Notamacropus eugenii: one gene and its partners. The main gene of each other region encodes a partner of the protein of the gene in region 2 in a complex. Links are inferred from orthologs where the notes say so. Each region holds a gene or a part of one and is shown on either strand. Other genes may lie near its edges. The genes, in order: ARPC5L, ACTR2 and ARPC3.

What was found.
Region 1: the proteins of ACTR2 (region 2) and ARPC5L are in contact, whole or in part, in a cryo-EM structure (PDB 6YW6), measured with the Homo sapiens proteins. The link is inferred for Notamacropus eugenii from reciprocal best matches to the Homo sapiens genes ACTR2 and ARPC5L. Residues at the interface, in NP_005713.1 of Homo sapiens: Tyr225, Glu263, Phe266, Gln267, Arg319, Lys322, Gln323, Ser338; in NP_112240.1 of Homo sapiens: Arg11, Arg12, Val13, Asp14, Ile15, Asp16, Glu20.
Region 3: ACTR2 (region 2) and ARPC3 share a complex: the UniProt entries of both Homo sapiens proteins name them as parts of the arp2/3 complex. The link is inferred for Notamacropus eugenii from reciprocal best matches to the Homo sapiens genes ACTR2 and ARPC3.

Annotation. Positions count from the first base shown.
Region 1 is NC_092872.1:447,139,780-447,147,169, forward strand, and holds the start of ARPC5L (actin-related protein 2/3 complex subunit 5-like protein), read left to right. Parts: upstream 1-4,314; 5' UTR 4,315-4,510; coding exon 4,511-4,674; intron 4,675-5,002; exon of another isoform or gene 5,003-5,105; intron 5,106-7,390. Other genes in the region: RPL35 (large ribosomal subunit protein uL29), read right to left, coding at 1,145-1,204. UniProt on the Homo sapiens protein: May function as component of the Arp2/3 complex which is involved in regulation of actin polymerization and together with an activating nucleation-promoting factor (NPF) mediates the formation of branched actin networks.
Region 2 is NC_092872.1:639,069,610-639,076,618, reverse strand, and holds the start of ACTR2 (actin-related protein 2), read left to right. Parts: upstream 1-3,989; 5' UTR 3,990-4,345; intron 4,346-5,069; exon of another isoform or gene 5,070-5,092; 5' UTR 5,093-5,109; coding exon 5,110-5,190; intron 5,191-7,009. UniProt on the Homo sapiens protein: ATP-binding component of the Arp2/3 complex, a multiprotein complex that mediates actin polymerization upon stimulation by nucleation-promoting factor (NPF).
Region 3 is NC_092875.1:35,943,973-35,951,870, forward strand, and holds the start of ARPC3 (actin-related protein 2/3 complex subunit 3), read left to right. Parts: upstream 1-4,874; 5' UTR 4,875-5,186; coding exon 5,187-5,192; intron 5,193-7,717; coding exon 7,718-7,817; intron 7,818-7,898. Other genes in the region: GPN3 (GPN-loop GTPase 3), read left to right, coding at 963-1,025. UniProt on the Homo sapiens protein: Component of the Arp2/3 complex, a multiprotein complex that mediates actin polymerization upon stimulation by nucleation-promoting factor (NPF).

The DNA of each region.
Region 1 (7,390 bases), about 190 Mb from region 2:
AATTAGCGCCGGAATCTCTCCTAACTCCGAGTTCGCGGCTCCGCCAAAATGAGGACACAGCCAGGATTAGGAAGTTAATGGAAAGGGTTAACGGGCACAACCCCGGGGAACGTGGATTCTGGCTCCGCAGCCTGGCCTTGCCGGGCCTCCCCAGGGCCCCCGGGGCCTCGGCCTGAAGAGAGCCCCGAGCGCCGCGCGGCCCCGCCGCTCCCTCTTCCCTCCCCGCCACCCTCCCCAAGGCCGGAAGGACCCGCGCTGAGGCCGAAGCGCCCGGATGCCGCAGCCGGAGGCTCGTCAGGGGTGAACAGCGCCCCGGTCCGCGGCTCCGGAGCCTCCACCTCCCGCCATCGGAGCCCGGGCAGAAGGCCCCCGGGTGCGACGCGGAGCGGAGGGCTCCGGAGCCCGAGGATGGCAGCGGATTCCCCGCGCAGAGCTCACCATGATTTCAGCTCAGACGCACAGCCACCAGCTTGAAGGAGAAAGAGGGAAGGGGAGGAGCCGACCCTGAGAACTACTACCGGGTCAGGGCGCGACCAAGTAAACGGGAGGAAGGGTGAGATGTACGGAGAATGGTACAGCCCGCCCAGAAAGCGAGTTGGGGAAGGGAAGGAAGGGAGAGGAGGAGGAGGCAGACAGTGGGGAGGGAACAGGCCCCACAAGGCACACCCACCCATGGTTAAAGCCGAGGATGCTCTAGAGCTTCTTCCGCCCTCCTGGATTCCTCCCCCATCGAATTTCTCTGAACACCTTGGACCTCACCTTTAGAACACAATATAGGGCCTCAGTTTTTTCCTTCTGTAAAATCAATCAATCCTACCTTTCCAGTATTCTTTACACATTTCTGACCTGTACATAACCTAGCTGTCCTGTCTTACTGATCTACTTGTTCTGTGGGCAACACAGGATTATTCAGCGCCAGTCTCCCTGCCTTTGCACTTGCTGTGCCCATGCCTGGAATTCATTGCCTTCACAGATCCTCCCGACAACCCCCTTTCAAAATCCCTTATTTCCTTTAAGATTCAGCTCAATCCTACTTTTTATATCAAATCATTCCTGATCTCACTAGTTTATAAGGTACTTTCACCAATAATGACCTTGTATTCATTTTACATTTAAAGATATGTAGATATGTATATACACTTACATATGCACATGCTGTCTCCTCCATTAGAAAGTAGCTCCTTGAGGGTAGGCACTGTTTCATTTTTGTCTGTATTTCCAGAGCTTAGCACAGTGCCTGAAATACAGTGGGTGCTTAATAAGTTCTTGCTGACTGATCCATTCTGGGGACAATCACACACTGCCTCCCTCACCAATGTGTCTCACAAGAAATAAAGGAATAACAGCATCAGATTTAAAACTGGAAGGAACCTTAGAAACAGTCTAGTCTAATAATCTTTGTACAGATGTGGAAACTGAAGCCCAAGGAAGTTAAAGGGTCAAGATCACACAAATGGCAAGAAAACCAGCATTCCAGGATCTGAACTAGATCATATATGTGGAATCAGGGAATATTAAAATATATAATGTTAAGACATATAATAGGATAGAGATGTAAGAACACAGAATGTTAGAGCTGAGAAGAGCCTTTAAGAGTTAAAGGGCCTTCAGAGATCCTTGAAGACTTATCCCCTCATTTCAAAGAGGTTCAGAAAACAATAATATCATTCAAAATCCACTTTCTTGACATCTGTACCTAAAAGTTTCAAGCCAGCAGAAGAGCTGAGGATAAAATCCAGGCCCTTTGAATCTCAGTTCAATGTTCCATTCATTCCATTTATAATGCCTCCTTGTAACTATAAAGTGCTAAAATAATAAAGGGCATCATTATGAATTATTATTATACATCAGTGTTTGATATAGCAATATTTCTCATAACTACATTTATTTTAGTGGTAGAAGGAATCTGGACCAGAGTTCAAGAAACTGGAAGGATCTTGGTTTTTAGTTTTCCCTCCCAATCCTATTCTTTAGGGATGTAGGAAAGATAAGGCAGTCTTTTTGGAACTCTCTAGCTGTGTTCTCTGACCACAACCCTGGGGTATCTGGAACCTGAATTGGAATGCTGGCTTTACTACTTCCTCCCTATGTGATCTTGGGCAAATCACTTCCTTCTCCGAGCCCTAAAAATGAAGGGATTGGATTTAAAGTGTCTAAATTCCTTACTAGGATTGATTCTCTGATGTCACTTCATTCTTGGAAATTGTTTGGTTACATCTAGCTCACACACAGAACCTGTCAGCAATTAACATCTCTAATATATAGTTCCAGTTGATGCTAAGCAACAGAGGCAGGGGCAGGGGCTGTTTCTGTATCTGGTACAGCACCCAGCAGGCTGTGGGCGCTTCATGAATGTCAAGTGACAATAATAACTGCTCCTTCTCCCACTGAGGATGTCAATCCCTAGCTCCGAGATGTGGATTGCTTTCCAAAGTGCCTTTTGGAGATAGGGAATGGAAAATGAGTACCATGTAACACATCTCTATAGCATTTTAAGATCCACAAAATGCTTTCCTCATAAAACTATGACACAGGTAGATCAAGGCAGAGAATTTGCCACCCATTCAGCCCAAAGGTTTCCCAGGACATAAAAGAACAGAAATTGGTGCCTCTGGGTCAGACCAGGTGAAGATTGTTGGGCCTTCACATAGTTCTCCACTGTCACTCAGGTAATCTTGCACTTCTCCTAATGCCCTTTCTTGTTTTACTTTCTTTGTGCCTCTCATATCCTGTAATACTACTGGATAATCATGACCTGGATTTCATTTTTGTCTTTTGGCAGGTTGAGTTTTAAAGCCTGGGAGACTGTATGGACTCCTGGAAAAGATACTAAAGGGAAGTAGGAAACAGATTCTAAGCTGGATCTTAGTCAGAAGGACACTGGATTTGGAGTCCAAGGACCAGGTTTCAATCCTTGCTTTTTCAGATTAGTGACTTTTGGCAAAACATTTTCATGCACTGGGCTTCAGTTTCTTAGTCTTCATTATAATGGGGTTTTGACTAGGTCATCTCTAAGGTCCCATCCCCTTCTAAATCCTATGTGGCTCTGAGCAGGTCACTTCCCTTCTTTGGGAATGTCTGTCCCTCTGTAAGCTTCATTCAATAAACATTTCTTGGACAGCTCCTCTACTTATTGAGATCTGTGATTCATCAGTAGTAAAGGCAAGGCAAAGATGAGTGATAGTCCTGGCTCTCCAACAGCTGTAATTAAATGATCAAAAAAGAGAATATTTGTAAAGCACTTAGCAGTCAGGTTCTCCTAGGAACCTCACCATTCTGCAAAATCACATTATCAGCCTTGGTACCGACCTCATCAGTACCCTCTGCCTCTGGGACCCCTCTGATTAAAGGGGAAAGCTGTTCTCCATGCCTAGAATTCTCTCCCTAATTCCACTTCCTTACTTCTCCTTCCTTAAAGTTCCTTAGATTGTAAGCTCCTTGAGGGCAAGATTGTATTCTGCCTCTTTTTTATGCCTAGCATTTAGCACAATTTAGTACATAATGGGTGCTTAATAAATATTTAGTGATTGACTGAAATAATATATTGATTAACTACAAGAAGCCTTTCCCACTCTTCCCTCCTACTAGGGCCTTCCCTTTTTTTCTTTTTAGATTAAAGGGGTCATCCCTTGACAAAGAGGCCTATTCACTGAATGGGTATTAATTCACTCAAAGTGAGAACCTGAAAAGTCTTCGCCTAAAAGAGCCAGGGTCTCCCACTACATCCTGGGCCATCTCCAGTGAGGCTGGTGACCTGGCACAGCCCTCCCTCACTCAAAACCAGGTCAAGGGCAAGTCATGTCGTCATCTCCCTGACGTCATGGTCCTCTCTGAGAAGGAAGGCCGAACACAGGCCTTTCCTCTGGGGCTGTCTCCCCCTCCTCTCTTCGTAGCTGTCCGGCCAGTCTCCTGGGCAGACTGAGATCCGGGAGAGCAGGGGCCTTTTCTCCGCCTCCCTGACCAGTGCCCGCTGACTCCCTGGGCCAGCAGGGCACAATCACTCACAAATTCTCAGACGGCGAGGTCTGGGAGGGGCCTCAGGGACGCTCCAGCTGCCCTTTCTAGATTCGGGCAGAAGAAGACGGTTAGTCCTCAGCCCTTCTTACTTCCCTGGGCTGTTGCTGATGGGGTAAATCCTGACACACTCGCAGTAGGGCATCGGTTTGGAACGATTATTTACCACCACGCCCCTCCCCCGCCCCGCAGCCGCCAGCCGGCAGAAGCGGCCCGGGGTCAGCCTCGCCGGCGCAAAGCAGCCTCCTTGCCTCCCCAAGCCCAGCCCCGCCCCCTCGCTGACCGACATCCGCTTCCGGCCCTGGCCGGAAGTGGGTGTGCGTCGCGGCGCGGCGCGCGGCGCGGCGGAGTCGTCTCCGGAGCGTTGCCGGGGCCGTTGCCGGGCTCCGAGCGCTGTCCCTGCGGGGTCTTCTCGCTCGCGCTCTCGCGGTCTCTCGCTGTCTCCTCTCTCTCTCTCTCCCCCGGCCTTGCGCGGGAGGCGGAGGCGGCCGCCGCCATGGCTCGGAACACGCTGTCCTCGCGCTTCCGCAAGGTGGACATCGACGAGTTCGACGAGAACAAGTTCGTGGACGAGCAGGAGGAAGCGGCGGCGGCCACGGCGGCGGAGCCGGGCCCCGACTCGGACCCGGACCCCGGGGAGGTGGACAGCCTCCTGCGGCAATATCCTTCCGCCCCCCGCGCGGGCTCCGGGGAGGGAGAGGAGGAGGGGGCGCAGGCAGGGAGAGACCCAGAGGAGGGGGGGAGGGGTCGGGGAGGGGAGCGTGGCGAGGTGGCGAGCGCCGGTCACCCCCGCTCACCCCCAGAGCCTTCCAGGGCCGCCCCGCGATTCCGGACACCCTTCTCCGCCCGGCTGCATCCCACCGGTCCGGCGGTTCGGAGATTCCTCTCTCCCCATCCTAGTTCTGTGCTGCAGGTTTAGCTTTTCCGGTACATTGTAGAACCCGCTCAAGGTAGGAAACATTTATCGAGGGTCCCCCCCCCCACGCACCTCAGGGGGTCAGCACCTTGTTTTCCCCTCTGGTGATTTGCACCTCCATCCCTGCTTTGTGTAAAGAGATTGGCAGCCTCCGGGAACTTGCCCCCGAAGCCCTGGGACTCTGGCTTCTCCAAGTGTTCTGATTTCCCCATCCCACCGGCCTGGGACTGAATACAGGTGTGAGGGCCGGAGGGATGGGCCAAGTTGGGAAAAATGTGGAGTGGTTGGTTTTACCTGTTCAGAAATGGAAGGGGTGGGTGTCTTTAACTGCATGGGACCCCACCCTACGGAGTGGAGATGTAGGGGGGGAAATGGGGCAGGAAATGGGGCCCTTCTCCTCAGCCGGTCTGGGGAGTGCCCAAGGTGATCCAGTGCTGAGTAATGGATGGGGTCAGAGCAGTTCCAGATACAGATCTGCATTCATTAACCGTGCTTCATACCCTCATGCTGTGACAGGGATCGAGCCTTGTTAAAAATAGGTGTGCGGTGGGGGAGGGGAAGTGAGGGAAGCAGTTTTAGAATACAAGAAGGCCCCGTGGATTTTTTACCCCTGCCTGGGAATAGAAAGGAAAGCTGGAAGGGCTAGTGCTGGTTCCCACTGTCTGAAATTGTGACTTTCTTCTTTATTTCCCCAGAAGTACTTTTTTTTCTCCTGCCTAGAATGTTTGGCTTCTAAAAATAGCCTCATCTCATTCTCTGTTAGTATATTTTTGCTATTTCAACAGCTTTTAGTGTTCCTTGTTTGGCATATCTTTTCTCCATATTGTTTCCCTTTGAGGTTGGAAGCAGTTTTAGAGATTTTAAAAAGTGAGACAGCTTCTCATAAAGGCCAAAAATAGGCTCCCTAAACTCTGGAAGTGGTCTTATTTCTGGCTATGGAAGCAAAATCTTTATAAGCAGGAAGGTTATCAAGTGGCGCTTAGCTGTTCATGACTTCAGAAAGAAGAATATACTTCATTTTATTGATGGCTATAGTCAGCTATGTCTCTCTGGTACAACTTCTAATAAAGAAGTTTGACACATAATGTGCAGCTTTTATTTACCCAAAGATCCTTTAATTGGTTGACTCAGTCTCAGAAAATAAGGACTACTCCAGGGAGCAGTCTCAAGTGGAGGAAATTTAACAGCTCCGTTGAACAGCTCCCTGTTTTATGTCTGAGGTTTACAACAACCCTGTGAGGACAATAATGCAAACATTATCACTTTGGTCTGACTGTACTTTTTCTTTTTTTGATCTGATCATACTTTTCTCTCCTTAAAGCTGACTTGTTAAAAAAAAAATCATAACTATGGCTTGCAGTTGGTGTTTTTTTAATGCATCTCTATGCATCACAGGGCCTGTGATTTCACTGCTGTAGGGAATTCTCAGAAAACTCACTCTTTGCATGGCTACATCATCTCTGCAACTTAGTGTCTTAGAAAGTTGCCTAGAGCACTGAGAGGGCCAAGAGTTGCCCAGGATCACAGAGCCCTTGTGAGTCAGAGGTCTTGGCTTTAAGGTCAGTTCCCTGTCTATTATGCCTTGCTATTTCTAATTTTAATTGCATACTTTTCTTTTGTAAAAAAAAATTTGAGGTGTTAGTAGAAAGAACTCTGTACTTGAAGTCAAAAGACCTGGGTTTGAATTCAGTTTCTGCTTCTTATTGTCTTTGTGACCTTGGAAAAGCAACTTAGCCTCTTTGGGTCTCAAATTTCTGTAAAATATGGCTAATACTATAGTCAGTGGAATGTAGCCTGCATTCTTCAAATGAAACAATGGATCATAGGAAGTCACAGGATTTTGAAGAGACTTGACATCTAGTCTTAAGGTTCTCAAACCTTTTGATCTCAGACACCCTTATTACTCTTATAAATTATTGAGGATCTCAAAGAGCTTTTGTTGCTGTGGGATTTAGTTATTAATATTTTTGTTGTTCAGTTATTTTCAGTCATATGACCCTTTGTGACCCCTTTTGAGGTTTTCCACTTTTCTGGAGTCTTTCCTTTTCCTACATTTCCTTCTCCAGCTCATTTTACTGATGAGGAAACTGAGTCAAACAAGGTTAAGTGATTTGCCCAGGGTCACAAAGCTAATAAGTATCTGAGGCCACATTTGAACTCAAGGAAAATGAGTCTTCCTGACTCAAGGCCTGGCACTCCAACCACTCTGCCACCTAGTTGCCCTGCTATTAATATTTACCACATTCAGAATTAAAACTGATAATTTAAAAAAAATGTTTATTAACTCATTACACATTAACATAAATTTTTTTCTGGAAAATAACTTTTCCAAAAGGAAAAAATATAGTGAGAAGAATTTTACATATTTTTCCAAATTTCTTTAATGTGTGGCTTAATAGAAAACAACTGATTTTTGCTTCTGCAGTCAATCTATTTTGATATATTAGTTTTGGTTGAAGT
Region 2 (7,009 bases):
GGGCCTGCGCCCTCCCGCCCCCGCCGCCCCCGCCGCCCCTCTTCCTGTCAGCCCCCCACCCCCACGCCGCGCCTCTCATCCCCGCGGACGGGGGATGGGGGGATAGTCTCCTGCTCGCCCCCTCCCTGAGTGCCTTGGAGGAGCTGCCGAGGACAACGGGGGTGGCTGATGAAAGATAGACCCGCTCCATCTCGAGCAGCTTGTGGTTTTATAAAACAAGAGTGGTCGGGCCTTCCTCTTCCTGTAAACTCGAAGGTAGAGCCTCGGAGGCAGGAAGCGAGGGGCTAAAAAAGGAAGCAGGGCTGGCAGCCTCCGTCTGCAAGCCGCGTCTCGGAGGGGCTCCCGGGAGGGGGTCTGGGGGAGGCGCCCACCGTGGACGTCCAGTCGGAGGAGCCTGGGCGGGCGAGCCCCGGGGGCCGAGGGCTGCCCAGGTGTGGTGGTGACCTTGGGAGAAGTTACCAAGCCCCTCCCGTTCCTCTTTTTCTCCTACTGCGAGTTCCCCATGGGTATGATCTTAAATGAGATCCCCGAACGCCGGGAGTTGTAAAAACGGTTGGTTATTCCCCCTCCCTTTCTTCCCCCAGGCTCCTTTTGGGAGAGGGGAAGAAAGGTCTGCCTTTTTTTAAAATTTTTTATCAGAAAGCAAAATCAGAACAAATCTCAAGATTGAAACATGATTTCTTTGGAATGTGTTCTCCAGGAATGATTTTATGTTACATTTGTTTTTATGTTACGTTTTTATGGTACATTTGTTCTCAACTCTTCTTGAGGTTGCCACAGCATACCGATGTACAGATGCTTTTTTAGTGATCCTGCCTACACTTCTCTCTCCCAGCAGGGTCTAGTATGTGAATTAAAATTAAAAATAATTATTTTGGTAAACTCTTCTAGAATTATACTGTGGAAAACATAATGAACTTGAAATAAACATAAGTAAACCTTTTGTAAATTAAGAAATTGAAGCCCAGAGCAGTTGTGACTTGCACAAGGTAACACCTCATGTTAGTGGCATCACTGTGACTAGAACCCAGCTTGGTAATTTATTACTTACTGTACTACACAGGTTTGCCTCTTATAATGGTGTGGGCTGTTGGAAAAAAAAAATGGTTGGGAATCCCTGTTGCTTTGATGCCATAGCCTTTTAAAGGGATTATTAAATATAAAATGTACTGGAAAAAATACACTGATTTCTTAGGACACTTTCATTTTGATTTTTGTCAAAGGAGAAGATTGAAATATAGGATTATCTCTGATTTATTTCCACTATACTCACAGTAATGTTCAGAAAGCAATTTTGTGCATGTATTTAGAGATCTATATAGGGTTAGTGATAGTAGATGAGAGTTCATTCGCTTAGAGAACTTCTAAATGAGGAAATTCCCTCTGCAGACAATGCAAATTGACACCTTCTCTGTAACTGTGTGTGTGTGTATATATATTGTTAGTGTCTGCAAATATGAATACATTAATTAGTTTAAAATGAAGAAAGAACCAGCATTAGTAATGAAGTAATATTGATAGCATCATAATACATTCATGGATACTTTGGCATTTCTATAAGCTTTTGATATAGACATATATATATATACAGTCTAGTAAATCAATCACACCCTGTCTTTTATGTTGATTTTATTCTAGAACAACATTTCATATGCATTTAAATATTTGCAAGGCCATAGTATGCATGTAGCATTTTCATTTGTTCTTTGTTCGTTCAAAGTTTTTTTAGCGATGGTTTATGCCAAAGTTTGGTGATTTTTTACTACTTATTGGCCAGGCCTTTTGCCTTCAGATTCTTCTGTTTGCAAATAATAATGTGCTGAGTTTTACCAAGGCCCAGAAGATCACAGAGCCTTTTAAATCATTTAGTTCAGTTTTAACTATTCACATAGAGAAACCTAAAGAATGCCTCCATCCCAGACTGCTATGCAGTTTGATAGGCAACCTGTAGCTTCTATTTGTTGAACAATAACAAATTGTTCAACAATTTTTTGAAGCAAAGAAAATAAGCAACAGAGCAAGAATCCACGTTAACCTGTATGAGTTGACTGGACACTTAAAAGATGCTTTAAAAAAAAGTTAAGTGATCGTTTAATACAGTTATGAGCTGTGCTGAAAATAAAACAAGAAGAATAATGGGCTAGACTGTGTTTGTTAAATAGCACAATTATTTTAGTGACAGTTCCCCTCCAAGCTTCTTCCTATAACAAAAGCTCTTATTTTTTTTTTAACACCAGTAGTCTTATTGTGATGTTACATAGTCACATATAATCATACTCTGTGGTTTATGGAATTAGATGGAGGATAAACCAAAAGGTACATGGTAGGCAGGGGTAGCATACAGTATGTTCCAAACCAGAAATGGCTCAGGAAAGGCCTTGTGATAAAGATGTAATCAGAAATACATGATCAGGAAAACCAAAAAAGGTAAGCCAGTCAAGAACAAAGAGTAATGGATAGCCTGCACTTCCTTGATATCCACTGATGCCTGGAAAATGAGAAGTAGGTCCCCAAATCATTAGATAGACCCTTTGTGGCCAATTTATGGGAGAAAATGAGAGTGCATGGATGATTTCTAGTGTTCATCATTAGGAGGGATGAAATCCTAACTCCATTGAAATATAAAATTATCAGAATATTGGTCAGGCTTAAAAATGCCCAAGCATTTCACAGTTACAAGGCAGGATGAAGGTGCAGTATTTACTTCTTCATTTCTAATATTTCCACTCCGTATAACATTCAGGGTAAGGCAAAGAGAAAGGAAGCTAATACTTCTCAGTTAGGCTTCTGGTGGCGTTTGAAGGGCCCGTAGTAAAGAAGTCCTGAGTTCAGATGTGGTCTCAGACACTAACTGTACCATCCTGAGCAAGTCATTTAATATCTGTTAGCCTCAGTTTCTTCAGCTATAAAGTGGGTATTAAAAACAGCACCTTCCTTGCAGGGATGTTGTGAGGCTCAAATGAGATAATGTTAATAAAACACTTAGCACAGTGCCTAGCATGTAGGAGGAGCACATATCAATGCTTATTCCTCTCCCTCTTCTCCAAAATGTCCTAGCCCTTAAACTCCTCCAGTATTTGGCATAACTGCTCTCTAAAGTGGCATCACAAGGATTGGCAGTGAATCTGTACCCTAAAGTAACTCCAATCTGGAGATCAGGAAGGCTTTACACAAAGCTGAGAGGGATAGTTAGTACATTTTGATTGCATCCAAAAAGATCTCAACAGGTTAGTACACTGGGAAGAATCTAATTAGATAAAATCTGGTAGAGGCAAAGTCTTAGATTTGAGTTCTTTAGAAACCTACTTCCAAAGCACAGGATGGGAGAGGGAAAGTTAGCAGGGTTTTTTTTGTTAGTTTTTGAAAAAATAATCTGGGGAATTTAGTGGAATGCAAACTCAGTATGAGGCAGGAGAGTGATGTAGCTGCTCAAAATACTTAATATACTTTGGGACTGGATTAAAGTTTTAAAATTTATTTTGAACTTAAATACAAAATAATAGAAGAAAAAAATTGCCATATACATAGCAGAACACGAGAGGATTCAATATAAAGCAATGAATTCCCATTTCAAGAAAAACAATATAAGTACAACACATTTTCAAAGCCGTCCATCTTTTCTTTGCTTTTGTATAGATTTTCTTTTATCCTCTGCTGTGCACTTTTTACTTTATTTTTCCCTTTCCCCTCCCCAAGAAGGCTGCAATTAAGTGCAGATATATTTTTTATATATAACATAAATATACATACACATATATATACATATACATAAACATACATATATACACATATACATTCAAATGTGTGTATGTAAGACCGTATTATACGTGTTTCCATTTGTCATCTTTTTCTCTGAAGATGGATAGCATCTTCCTTCATAAGTCCAAGTCTCTATATTTTTCCAGATCCACCAGCTCATCATTCCCTACATCACAAAAATATTATGACTCAATCATATTCTATCTGAGAGATTGTGAGAGTTTTTCCCTCAATTTTCTGCATTCACTCTATTCTTGGCTACATAGGTTTTGAGTCTCTTTCAATTGAGGATTGGTTGGTGGATTTGGGAATGGATAGCTTGACGCAGAGAACACTTGGAAGGGAGAGAATAGTTGTCTCTCCAAGTATTTGAAGGGCCTTCTTGTGGAAGAGAAACAGAACTTGTTTGTTTGGCCCTAGGGTGCAGAACTAAAGCAGTGTTTGAAAATTGCAAAGAGACAAATTGAGATTTGATGTTTGGAAAATTTTCCTAAGAATTAGAACTGAACAAAAAATTGAATGGGCTGCCTTAAGAGAATCATTGGAGGTCTTCAAATAGAGGCTGGATCACCACTTTTCTTTTCAAGTATGTTATAGTGGGGTTGGACCATATGACCACCAAAATCACTTCCAGCTTTAATACTATGTGATTCATTCAAGAATCAATCCTTACGTAGCAGGGACAACTTGGTGGTGCTGTAGATAAGAAGCCAGTCCGTAAGACTCATTTTCTTGAGTTCAGATCTGGCCTTAGACACTTACTGTGGGCAAAGCTCTTAACCCTGCTTGCCTCAGTTTTCTCATCTATAAAATGAGTTGGAGAAAGAAATAGCAAACTATTCCAGTATCTTTGCCAAGAAAACCTCCAAAAATTGAATTTATGAAGTCAGTCAGACACAACTGAAACGACTCAACAACAATGTAGTTGAACCCTGAACTTTGCTGGCTACCGGTTACCACCCTATGAATTTTAGTAGTTTATAGAAGTTCTGCACTAGTGTATGAATTTTCTGTTATTTAACTGTGGGTAGGATTTTTTAGGGACTCTGCTGATTTTATGGAGATACTGAGGTTGTTTGAAATAAAACCATCATCTGGTTAAGAAAGAATAACTTTGAGGTGAAAGTCAATAACTCTTCAGTCTTTAGTTTTCTGGGACAAATAGGATTGCAGGATGGTGTTCTAATAATTATCTGATTAAAATAATGAAAAAGGACTAGTTTCTGATAAAATCAGTGGAAGAAAAAAGACAAGTAAAAGCAAGGTTTAAATTTGCTCATAAAATGTTTTTTCAAGCTAATGTAGCTAATACTCTTTAATTTTTGCCTGAAAGACTGTGACAGACTGTGAATGTTCTTACCATTTGATGACTCAGTGGGAAGTAAGAGAGTCAGTTTCAACCACAATGCTATGAAGAGGAAACTATATATGGTAAAACTTATTTCTTAAACACAGCCTTCTTGCACACACCAGGGGAAATTAGTAGCTAAGTTTTTAAATGATGAGAGGTTGTAAGCGTATGCCATGTCACATTTTGCCTTTTAAGGATTAAAGTGACAAAATATGGTTTGAACAAGGCTTATTTCCTTCATTTTACAAATTAATAATTGTGGTTTCTACATATTTTCTGAAAATTGTGATTTTGGTGCAGGAAGAATAAATGTTTTTTTTTCTTTTGAAATTCCTTAATATATATTTCTTTTAAAAAACTCATTTAATTTTAATACATAATAATGTACTTTAATACATAGTAATACATAATATATAATACATGAATATATATTATACATATATTATGTATAATACATGTATTATGTATAATACATAAATAAATGTACCTTAATTTTGTTTTTATAAATGAAATGAATATGTTCATGTTTTTAAAATGTTAAATTTACAGTATACTCAAGTGCACACATAGACGAACATGAAAACTACCATGTATATTTGGGAGCTGACATGTACGTTAAAGTTAGCATATGTACTTGTGAGCTTAAACTCATATGCAAGAGCTAACACAAGTCATTATGTACAGTACATTAATTTTGCCACTTGTATTTAGCGGTAAACAGACTTAATCAGCTCTTGTGAATACCAAAATCAAATTTTCTAAAATCCCCTTTCTTACATCAGAAAAAATTATCCTGTCAGATTCTTTATGGTTTCATGTAGGGGAGCTGTTCCTTGCTTCTGGGAGTGGGGAGGCAGGGAGAAGGTGGTGGTGGCTACCTATTTATCAGTTCCCTTTTAAGAGTCTTTTGCTCTAATACCTCCTAAGAGTTTGTAGATGATTTTAGGCTCTCAGTTCAGTTCAATAAACATTTATTAAGCAACTTTGTTACCTGGCTGAGTGCTAAGCCGTGGAGATACAAATAAGAAAAAGAAAGTCTCTTCCCTTGAGGAGCTCACAATTTAAGAGGGGAGAAAGAGGAGAAGACCACACTCAAAAGGAAACTGGAAAGCAAGGGGGAGTGGTATATGGAAGTCCAGGAGCCTGATATTATATGGAGTGGAAGGGGACAGCTGATGGAAAGAGAATTACCTGGGCTATATTTTTATGGTAGAGATTTTTTTTTAAACTATGTACCTGTTAAAATAGTTTTGAAGTAGTTTTAAAATTTAAAGTGAAAGATGTGTGCTATAGTATAGTTTATCGAATGATTTTGAGCATCCCAAAGAAACCTGTGTAGAAATGTTAGTCATTGTTTGATAAATACATTTGCTACATAATAATTTAACACTTAAGTGTTCATTATTTTGCATTTGAGTGTTATATTATAACAGTTTTTTCTTTGAACAGGTAGAAATTCAGATAACTTCAGAAATACAATCTAAATTGTTTCCACTTTCAGTACTGTCTCTTATCTTTAAACTTGGAAACTTTGAAAATGTCTTTTGCAGCTTTCCAAGTAGTTAAGTTTTTTTTTCAAGTTTGCAATCTTTTTATTGCATTAAATATTGTGCTTTTTTTATTAATAATTTCTTTTCAGTTTTCAACAGTCATTTTTATAAGTTTTAAATTTTTCTTCCTCTCCCTCCCTCTTCCCTTCACGCAATTGTAGGTGGATTCTACACATACATTCTTATTAAACACATTTTCACATTGGTCATGATGCATAGAAGAATTAAAATGAATGGGAGAAACCATGAGAAAAAGCAAGAAAACCCATAATGAAATAGAAAATATTCTGCTTCATTCTGCATTGCAACTCTATAGTTCTTTCTCTGGATGTGGATGGCATTTTGCATC
Region 3 (7,898 bases), on a different chromosome or scaffold from region 2:
ATATGTTGATTTTGATTTATTTTGCTGAAATTTCTTACTCATTATTTAAAAAAAATTCTTTGTTATAAGATGTGGTCCTCCAGGAATGGGGGAAGGGATGTAGGGGGAAATATAGGCAATAATTGAAAACAAAAAACATCAATAAAATCTGTTTTAAAAAAGAAAAAGGTGGGGGAGAGGGGAATTTAGAACTCAAAATCTTATAAAAGTGAATGTTGAAAATCTTAATTTTAAAAACTGGAGATCTGGATTAAATAATTTAAAAAAAAAAGGTGGTTGATGGAACTCTATGCACGGAGGAGGCTTACCAACCACAACATTCCTAGTGGCGGGTGGACAGTGTTAAATGACCTTGAAGGTAAGTGGACAGACCAGTCCCTGAAGGTAGCAGGTGCCCGGGCTTGGGTCATGCGTGTATATTCTTTAAGCTTCTTCTGCTGACTCCCTCATTTTAGCTCCGACTTAATGGGTCAGAGAGCCGTTTCACTTGTTAGTGCTTATGATATCCCACCTGGCTAGGACAAGTGTTCTCAAAGCTCTACTTCCTCAAATAGGAAAAGGAGATGAACAAAATTGTGATGAGGAAATTACCTTTAACTTCCTCCTATCCTGCTCCTGTTTATGTAAATCACGAGCAGACTAGCTGGAGAAGACTAAAAAGGCCTTTGTCTCCTGTCTGTCTCTCTGGCCTCTCTTGCGTCTACGCTGGAATCCCATACCTAGTAGACTTTTCCAGGTGATTTGGCACTTCTAGGATCTGTGCGTGGGCCCTCTCTACAAGGAACTATGTCTGTCTCAATAGCTGGTCTTTGTCAGTTGCTTTGGCTCCAAAACACTGAATATTTGCCAGATATTAGCTGATTATTAATCGTTACCTGAAATGTCCACCTACAAGTGCCACTGTTGGCACGTTTAAGACATTTAAGAAAAAGTAATTAAACTTTCTCTTTCTTTGTTGAAAGGAATCTGAAGAAGAAAAATCATCCATGTTGGATGATTATTTTCAAGACCGTGGGGATGAATGAAGATATTTAATTTTTCCAGTGTTTATTAAAGCATGAAGAACTTTGTGGGCAGAATCTTATAAAGACTCATGTTTAGCCTCAGGGAGAAGTGGATGGAGAATTCATCTTTCCAAAGCAGAAAGAGTATGGCTAATCCACAATCTGAACATTGCCACTTCTCCTTTCCCCCAGCCTGGCCAAAGAAAAAGAATAGTTTGGAAAATCTCCATTGGCAAATGTTTCCAAATGAAGTCCCAAGTTCTCTAGGGTGTATAGTACTTGTTAAGGGAAGACAAATTCTGGGCTACAGACAAACCCTTGGTGCTGCTGTTTGTTACTTCCATTTTGGGGGAAGGATAGTTTGCATTGTGGTGTACAAGTGGCACAGAGGGAGATATCAGCTTGACTTCAAGAAAGAAAGACTTCCTGACAGCTCGAGCTAACCCCAGATGGCATAGGGCTCCTTGGGAGGTGGCAGTCTGCAGGGCTTCCCCCAAAGGCAGGTCATGAGTGTGATAGAGAGGATTTTTTTTACTGGTTCAGGTTGGGCCAGATGGCCTGAGGGTTCTCCTCCCTCAGAGATTCTTTCCTGTGGTTTCGTTATTGGAAAAATGATTCTGTTCCCCTCTCTCAGAATGGACTGCTTAGAAATTACTTTTATAATAAAAAATAAAATGTTATGTCTGAATTGTCCGTAGCCCTTTCATATTCCAAATTATATTTGGAAGTCCCTCCGCCCTGCCTTTTTGGGCCAGACTTAAGTACCCTGTGCCATTTTCAAATTGACAACTGTGTGTAACTTAACCATGTTAATGAATTTCCTTAGAGGTTAAATGGCTTTCCCAGGGTCACACAGCCACCAAGTGACAGAGGCAGTGTTGGAAGCCAGGTCTTTCTGACTTCTCTGCCCCATGTCATGCTACCTCATCCAAATTCCTACCAAGGGCAGTTTTTGGTATTAGGGATGAACTTGACACACACAAAAGCTATCAAGAAAAATTTATTAAAAACGGAATTCAGAGGAGGGAAGACCTTCTGCGTGCCTTCCCCCGAAGGAAAGGGTAGCTTCCAGCATGGCCGCTGGAAGGACGACGACCAGGTCAGAATGAGGCAGGACACTTATAGAATTCTGAACTTAGTGAAGAAAGTTGAAATGTAGTGATTCCAAAACAATGAAGAATCATCGTCTTGAGGTGGGCCAAGTAAAACATGGCGGACATTGCAGAACATCTAAAAAACTATTTTGATTTTGCTGTTTCATCTCTTTTTTAGACTTCCTTAATCTGGCCAGGCTATCAACTACTCTGGGTCAGGTGTTGTGCTATCCAAGTAAAAACCAGTCCCTGCCCTCAGGGAGCTCACTGGCCAAAGGCTGGCATTCAGGCATGCTGCCCCTTGTAACTTTGTAAGTGGCAGGTCATGTGAAGGAACCTGAAAAATGGATCATTTTGCCCAAGGTCTCTCAGATCTGAGGCCCAAACCCAGGTTCTCTGGCTACAAATCCCATATTCTGTGGCACACTTGCTGCCCCCTGAATTCATAGGCTGGAAATGCAAAGCCTCTCCTAAAATTCCTGCTGAGCCTTTTTCCTGACCTAAGCGTAATGTCTATTAGGCTCATGGTGATAATTGATTTTTGAGTTGCAAGGTGCCTTCAGGGGTCATATAGAGGGCACCTTACCTCATCCACCCATTTTACTATGAGGAGACAAGCCCAGAATGATGGAGTGAATTCAAAGAATTGAATTTCACAATTGGAGAGGACCTTAGTGGCCAATCAACCTTGTCCCAGGTCACATCAGTTGTGCTGGGATCATAAAATTAGAGCCCAGAGGGATATTCATGGCCATGACTTGCCCCGGATTTCACATTTTGGGCAGTATTTGTGTACCTCCCAGAGATCTTTGGGGAGCAGATAGCAATATCTGGAGTCTTCAGTAACATCCTAAGGAGAAAAAATAGATGGTCTGCAGCTTTCTTCTGTGCCCAAGTTACAAGGCAGGGGAGACTGTAGATATTTAAGGACGAGACTATTTTTTCCCTTTTTAAATGCTCTTGTTGCTTAAATGAACACCCACTAGGTAGCCAAATTTAATTTGCATGTTGTTATTCAGTTGTTTCAACTGTGTCTGGTTCGTCATGACCCCATTTGGGGTTTTCTTGGCAAAGATACTGGAGTTGTTTGCCATTTCCTGCTCCAGTTGAGTTTACAGATGAAGAAACTGAGGCTAAATGACTTGCCCAGGGTTACACAGCTAGTAAGTGTCTGAAGCTAAATTTTGAACTCAGGGCTTCCTGGCTCCAGGTCTGGTGCTCTTTCCACTGCTTCATATCCTTATATAATAATATCCTACGTATTTTGTGTCATTCAGATTTTAGGTTTTCTCAGTACCCAAGATAGCATGTTACCTAAATATTTTATCTAACACATTTCAATGATCTATAGTCTCATCAGTCCAGTGACTGGGGCAGTTGTTGGGGCAAAAAGAAAAACCCAGAACACCTAGCTGCCAAGCCAGTGGTGAGTCTCTTGATAACCCTTGAAAATGTACTTAGAGACCATTCCCAGGACCATAATCAAAACCACCCCAGCTTGACAAGGACCTACCAGAGCTTGAGGTCCCCTGGCATAACCTTGAGAGGGTCTTTAGAGGTCACCAAGTCCATTTTCCAGATGAGGAATTGAGTCCAAAGGAGGTAAAATGAATTGCAGAAGGTCACAAAGCTAGTAAGTGAGGTAGCTCTCAAACCCAATTTGGCTTCCCACTAGACTAGGCTGAGACATCAGAGGAGGGTCTTGGGATGATTTCCTCAGGATGTAATCAATGAGGCTTTGATTTTTTTCTTTAAGTCACAAGTCCTAGATTTTTTTCTTCTTATCTGGAATTTTGTTGATGTCAAACTAGTAAAAAAAAAAAAATACAATCCTCTTTGACTTTATCCCAAGGTAATATAATGACCAGTCTATGTCTGGGAGTGTCATGAACCCCTTTGGCAGTATAATGAAACATATAGACACCTCAGAATAATGATTTTAAATAATAGAACATACAATAATACTGAAATATGGTTTTCATAATATTACATAAGTTCACAAACCCCAGGTTAATAACCCCCTGGTCTATTGCATTAAAAGGTTACAGATTTTGACAATTTAGTTTAAATTGCATATTAAACATATTTTTGTTGTGTGTGAATATGAAGTGTTTTGGTTTTTTTCCCTGCTGTCAAGATGCATTGTGCATTTTAAAATAAGCTGAAAAATGCACACCTAGGTTCTGGCTCTTGTGAGTTGAGGACAATTATTAGGATAGTGATTTGGGGGTGAGGCACCCCCACCTCCAAAAATCATGATGAACTGTGGGATGAGATGGGTGGGCCCCTCCCTCCTCATCTGATTTTCCCAATCCTTTCATTTCTTCCATGGCTCTTCCCTCATCCAGCCACATAGAAGCACACTCTTTCCACCCATTTTCCTATGGCCTTTTATCTTGACCTCTTTTCTGCTTCCCAAGACCCCCAAGTGCAGTTTTTAGACTTTTATTCTTTTAAAATATATGTAACTTCTCATTATAAAAATGTTCATATATTGTATTTCTTTATACTCCAGCTGCACTAAGAAATGAAGCCCCAAATACTAAGAAACTTGTGTTCTCCAGCGATGATTTTCTTCAAATAAGAAAATAAAACGCGCATTTTACAGATGAAAAAACTGAGGCCCAGAGGGGTTGGCTAACTGACTTTTGCCCGGGGTCACCCATTCCCTAAGAGGCAGGATTCGAACCCACACCTTCGTTTTCCCCAAGGCCAGCACCACGTGGGGCCAATTTCTTTAAAACAGGGGATGCTTGTGCTCGCCCCGCCCCGCCCCGCCCCGCCCCGCCCCGCCCCGCCCACGGCGTTGTGGTGCGCAGCCTCAGAAGCCACTGCAAGGAGCTCCAAGCCCTGGGCGGGGGGGCCTTCGCGCATGCGCACGGGCAGGCGAGCTCGGCGCCGCAGCTCTAGTTCTTTGGCTCCCTCTAGTGTTCCCGGCGGCCACACCGGAAGCGCGACCTCCTCCCGCCTCTGTCTCTTCCGGATCGCTTCCGGTTAGACCCCACCCGGCCGCTAGACCGGAAGTATCGGGGTCTCTGACAGGAACCAGAATCTTCTGCTCGCCCGAAGCCCAGGCCCGGCCGCCAAGATGCCGGTGAGGCGCGGGGAGAGGCTGAGGCCTTAGAGGGCCCCGGGGGCGGGAGCGACCCCGAGGAGTGCGAGGGGGCCGGCGGAGGAGGCCAGGGTGGGGGTCCGGCCTTGGGGGAGGGAGGCCGGTCTGGTGTGCGGGGGAGGACCTGGCAGCAAAGACCTCTGCGAGGTGGGGAAACTGAGGCACGGGAGCCCCCGAGGCCTTCCTCGTAGGGTAGCCGGCCTGGAGTTGGGGCGAGGAGATCGCCGCCCGGAGCTACCAGGAAACGGAGGCCTCGGAGGGGAGAGCGCGGTGGGTGTGGGATGGAGGCCTGGAACCCCAGCAGCCCCGCCCTTTTATTTGACAGGCGGGGACACTGAGGCCCGGCGAGGGCGGAGGGCCTCATTGGTGGGGGCTTGGAGACCCCCCAGTGCGGCCGCCTCCCTTGGTGGTCACGGTCACAGGTGGATCCTTGAGCCCGGCTCCCTGCTCTGATGGGTGGGAAAACAGGGCTACGAACATTAAAGACCCTTCTGTCCTTTGGGATTAATTGTCTAACTGACTTGGGGCTGGAGCCCAAAGAACGTATATGAACATATATAAAGAACAGGTCCTTCGTGGGACACAGGGAAACTGAGGCACGGGGGAGAGAGCAGCTCCTGGTGGTGATGGAGAGTCAGGGCCAGATGGAGGGATTCTCCCCCCAACCCCTTCCTTTGACAGTTAAAGGTGCTGAGAGGTGCGAGGGTGGCTGCCTCCTCCTGCAGCCAAACCTGGGAGTCCTCGAGTCCACCTTTCTTATTTGACAGATGAGGAAACTGAGGTGCACAGAGCGGGAACTTGGACCTTAGCCGGTCCAGCTTGGCCAGTATAAGGGGGCTGGGGCTGGAGAGGCAAAAGAACTGCCTCTCCTTAATAGAAACACAGAAGAGATTTGGCCAGCCCTCCTGGGGTCAGATGTTTTCATTTCACATAGAAGCGAAGTAACTTCCCCAAAGCCTCACAGAGAGTCGGATGTGAATCAGGAACTTGGACCCAGGCCCTCTGAGAGCAGCTCCAGTGTGCCGTGGGCCCCCCAGCCCCCCTACCTCATACTCTCCCTTCTCGGCTTCTGTATGCCTTTCCTTTTCTTTCCCAGCTCCAGACTCTGGCTGGATGGCGAAGCTCCTCTCAGTGTCTTCTCTCCCTCTTTTTGTCAGATTTCCTCTCGGGCTCCTTCGCTTACCGCACCTACAGCCTCCTTGTCACTCACAGTGGCTGTGAGAGGCCTGTTCCTGAATGACATCTCCTCTTTTTGTAGTGAGTCCAGATTTCCAAAGCTCTTTCCTCCAAGGACTCCAGCACTAGGATTTATAGAGGCAGATTGTACACTTGCATTATAGACTTGCATTAGATGATTAATAGAATCTCCATCACCTCTAAATCCTAATGTCCCTATTTTACAAATGATGTTCAGAGACTCCCAGTGTTGGACTTCAGTGGCTCCCTCTGTAATCCTCCCTCCAGGGCTTTTGAGCTCTGTGATCATTAGAGTCTTTTCCAGCCCTAATAATCTTTGATCCTGTGAAGATGTTTTAACCAGGAAGTATCAGCAACTCTTTCTCTTGGGTGGGTTGTCTTTTTTTCTTCAGTAAGATGCATCATTGACCTGCATACAAAATGTCTAGACCTTTGTGTGAAGAAGATCTGGGGGTTTTATTATCAGTCACCAGGGTGATATAACAGCCCAAAAAACAAATTCTCTTTTAGGCTCTACGGGTAATAAGTAAGTCACAGTGGCTGTGACCCAAGAGAGTCTAGGTCAGCTGAGCTCTGCCCTGCACATTGAGAGCATGGTGTCTATAGTTTAGGAACAACACTGACAAGCTGGAGAGCACCCAGAATAGGGTGACGTGGGTGCCCAGGGAACCTTGTCCTTCAAGGATCAGGGGGAGGAACTGCTAGTGTTCAGCCTGGAGAAGAGCAGGAGGAGGAGGGCTGGTTTCCTTATATGTCTGAGGGACCCTCATGTAGAAGGTCTGAGATTTATTCTGTTTGGCCAAAGAGGTGGAAGTACTGAAGAGGCAGACTTTTTGTCAAGAAAATTTTTCCAACAATTAAAACTCTCCACAGGTTGAGTGGTTCCTTTCAATGGAGAGAGCTGGTGGTGCCACAGTGCCCAGAGTTCAAGGTCTAGAATCAGGAAGACCCAAATTCAAATCCTTCCTCAGACACTTTTGAACTGTGTGACTCTGGGCAAGTCACTTAACCTTTTTCTGCCTCAGTATCCCTAACAGATGAAGAAAATAATAGCACCGATCTCCCAGGATTGTTATGAGGGTCAAAGGAGATATTTGTAAAGCACTTAGCACCTTGACTGGCACACAGTAGGTGGTATATAAATGCTTGTTCCCTTCACCCCACTAGAGGTCACCATCAAAGGCTAGATGATGGAGTGCTAGACATATTTACTTGATGACTTCTGAGTCTCCTTCTCAGGATGAGATTCTATGATTCTATGGTGTTTATCTCCCTGCCCCTTTTGTATTCTTACATGACTGAAATTGCAGGCATACCACTCCTCTCTCATGGATCCCGACACCAAACTCATTGGAAACATGGCACTTTTACCCATTAGGAGTCAATTTAAAGGACCAGCTCCAAGAGAAAGTAAGTCTATATTCTTTTTCTTTCATTTTGTAAAAAGTGGTTTTGTGGAGTGAGGTATCAAGGTAACCATTCAACCCTAGG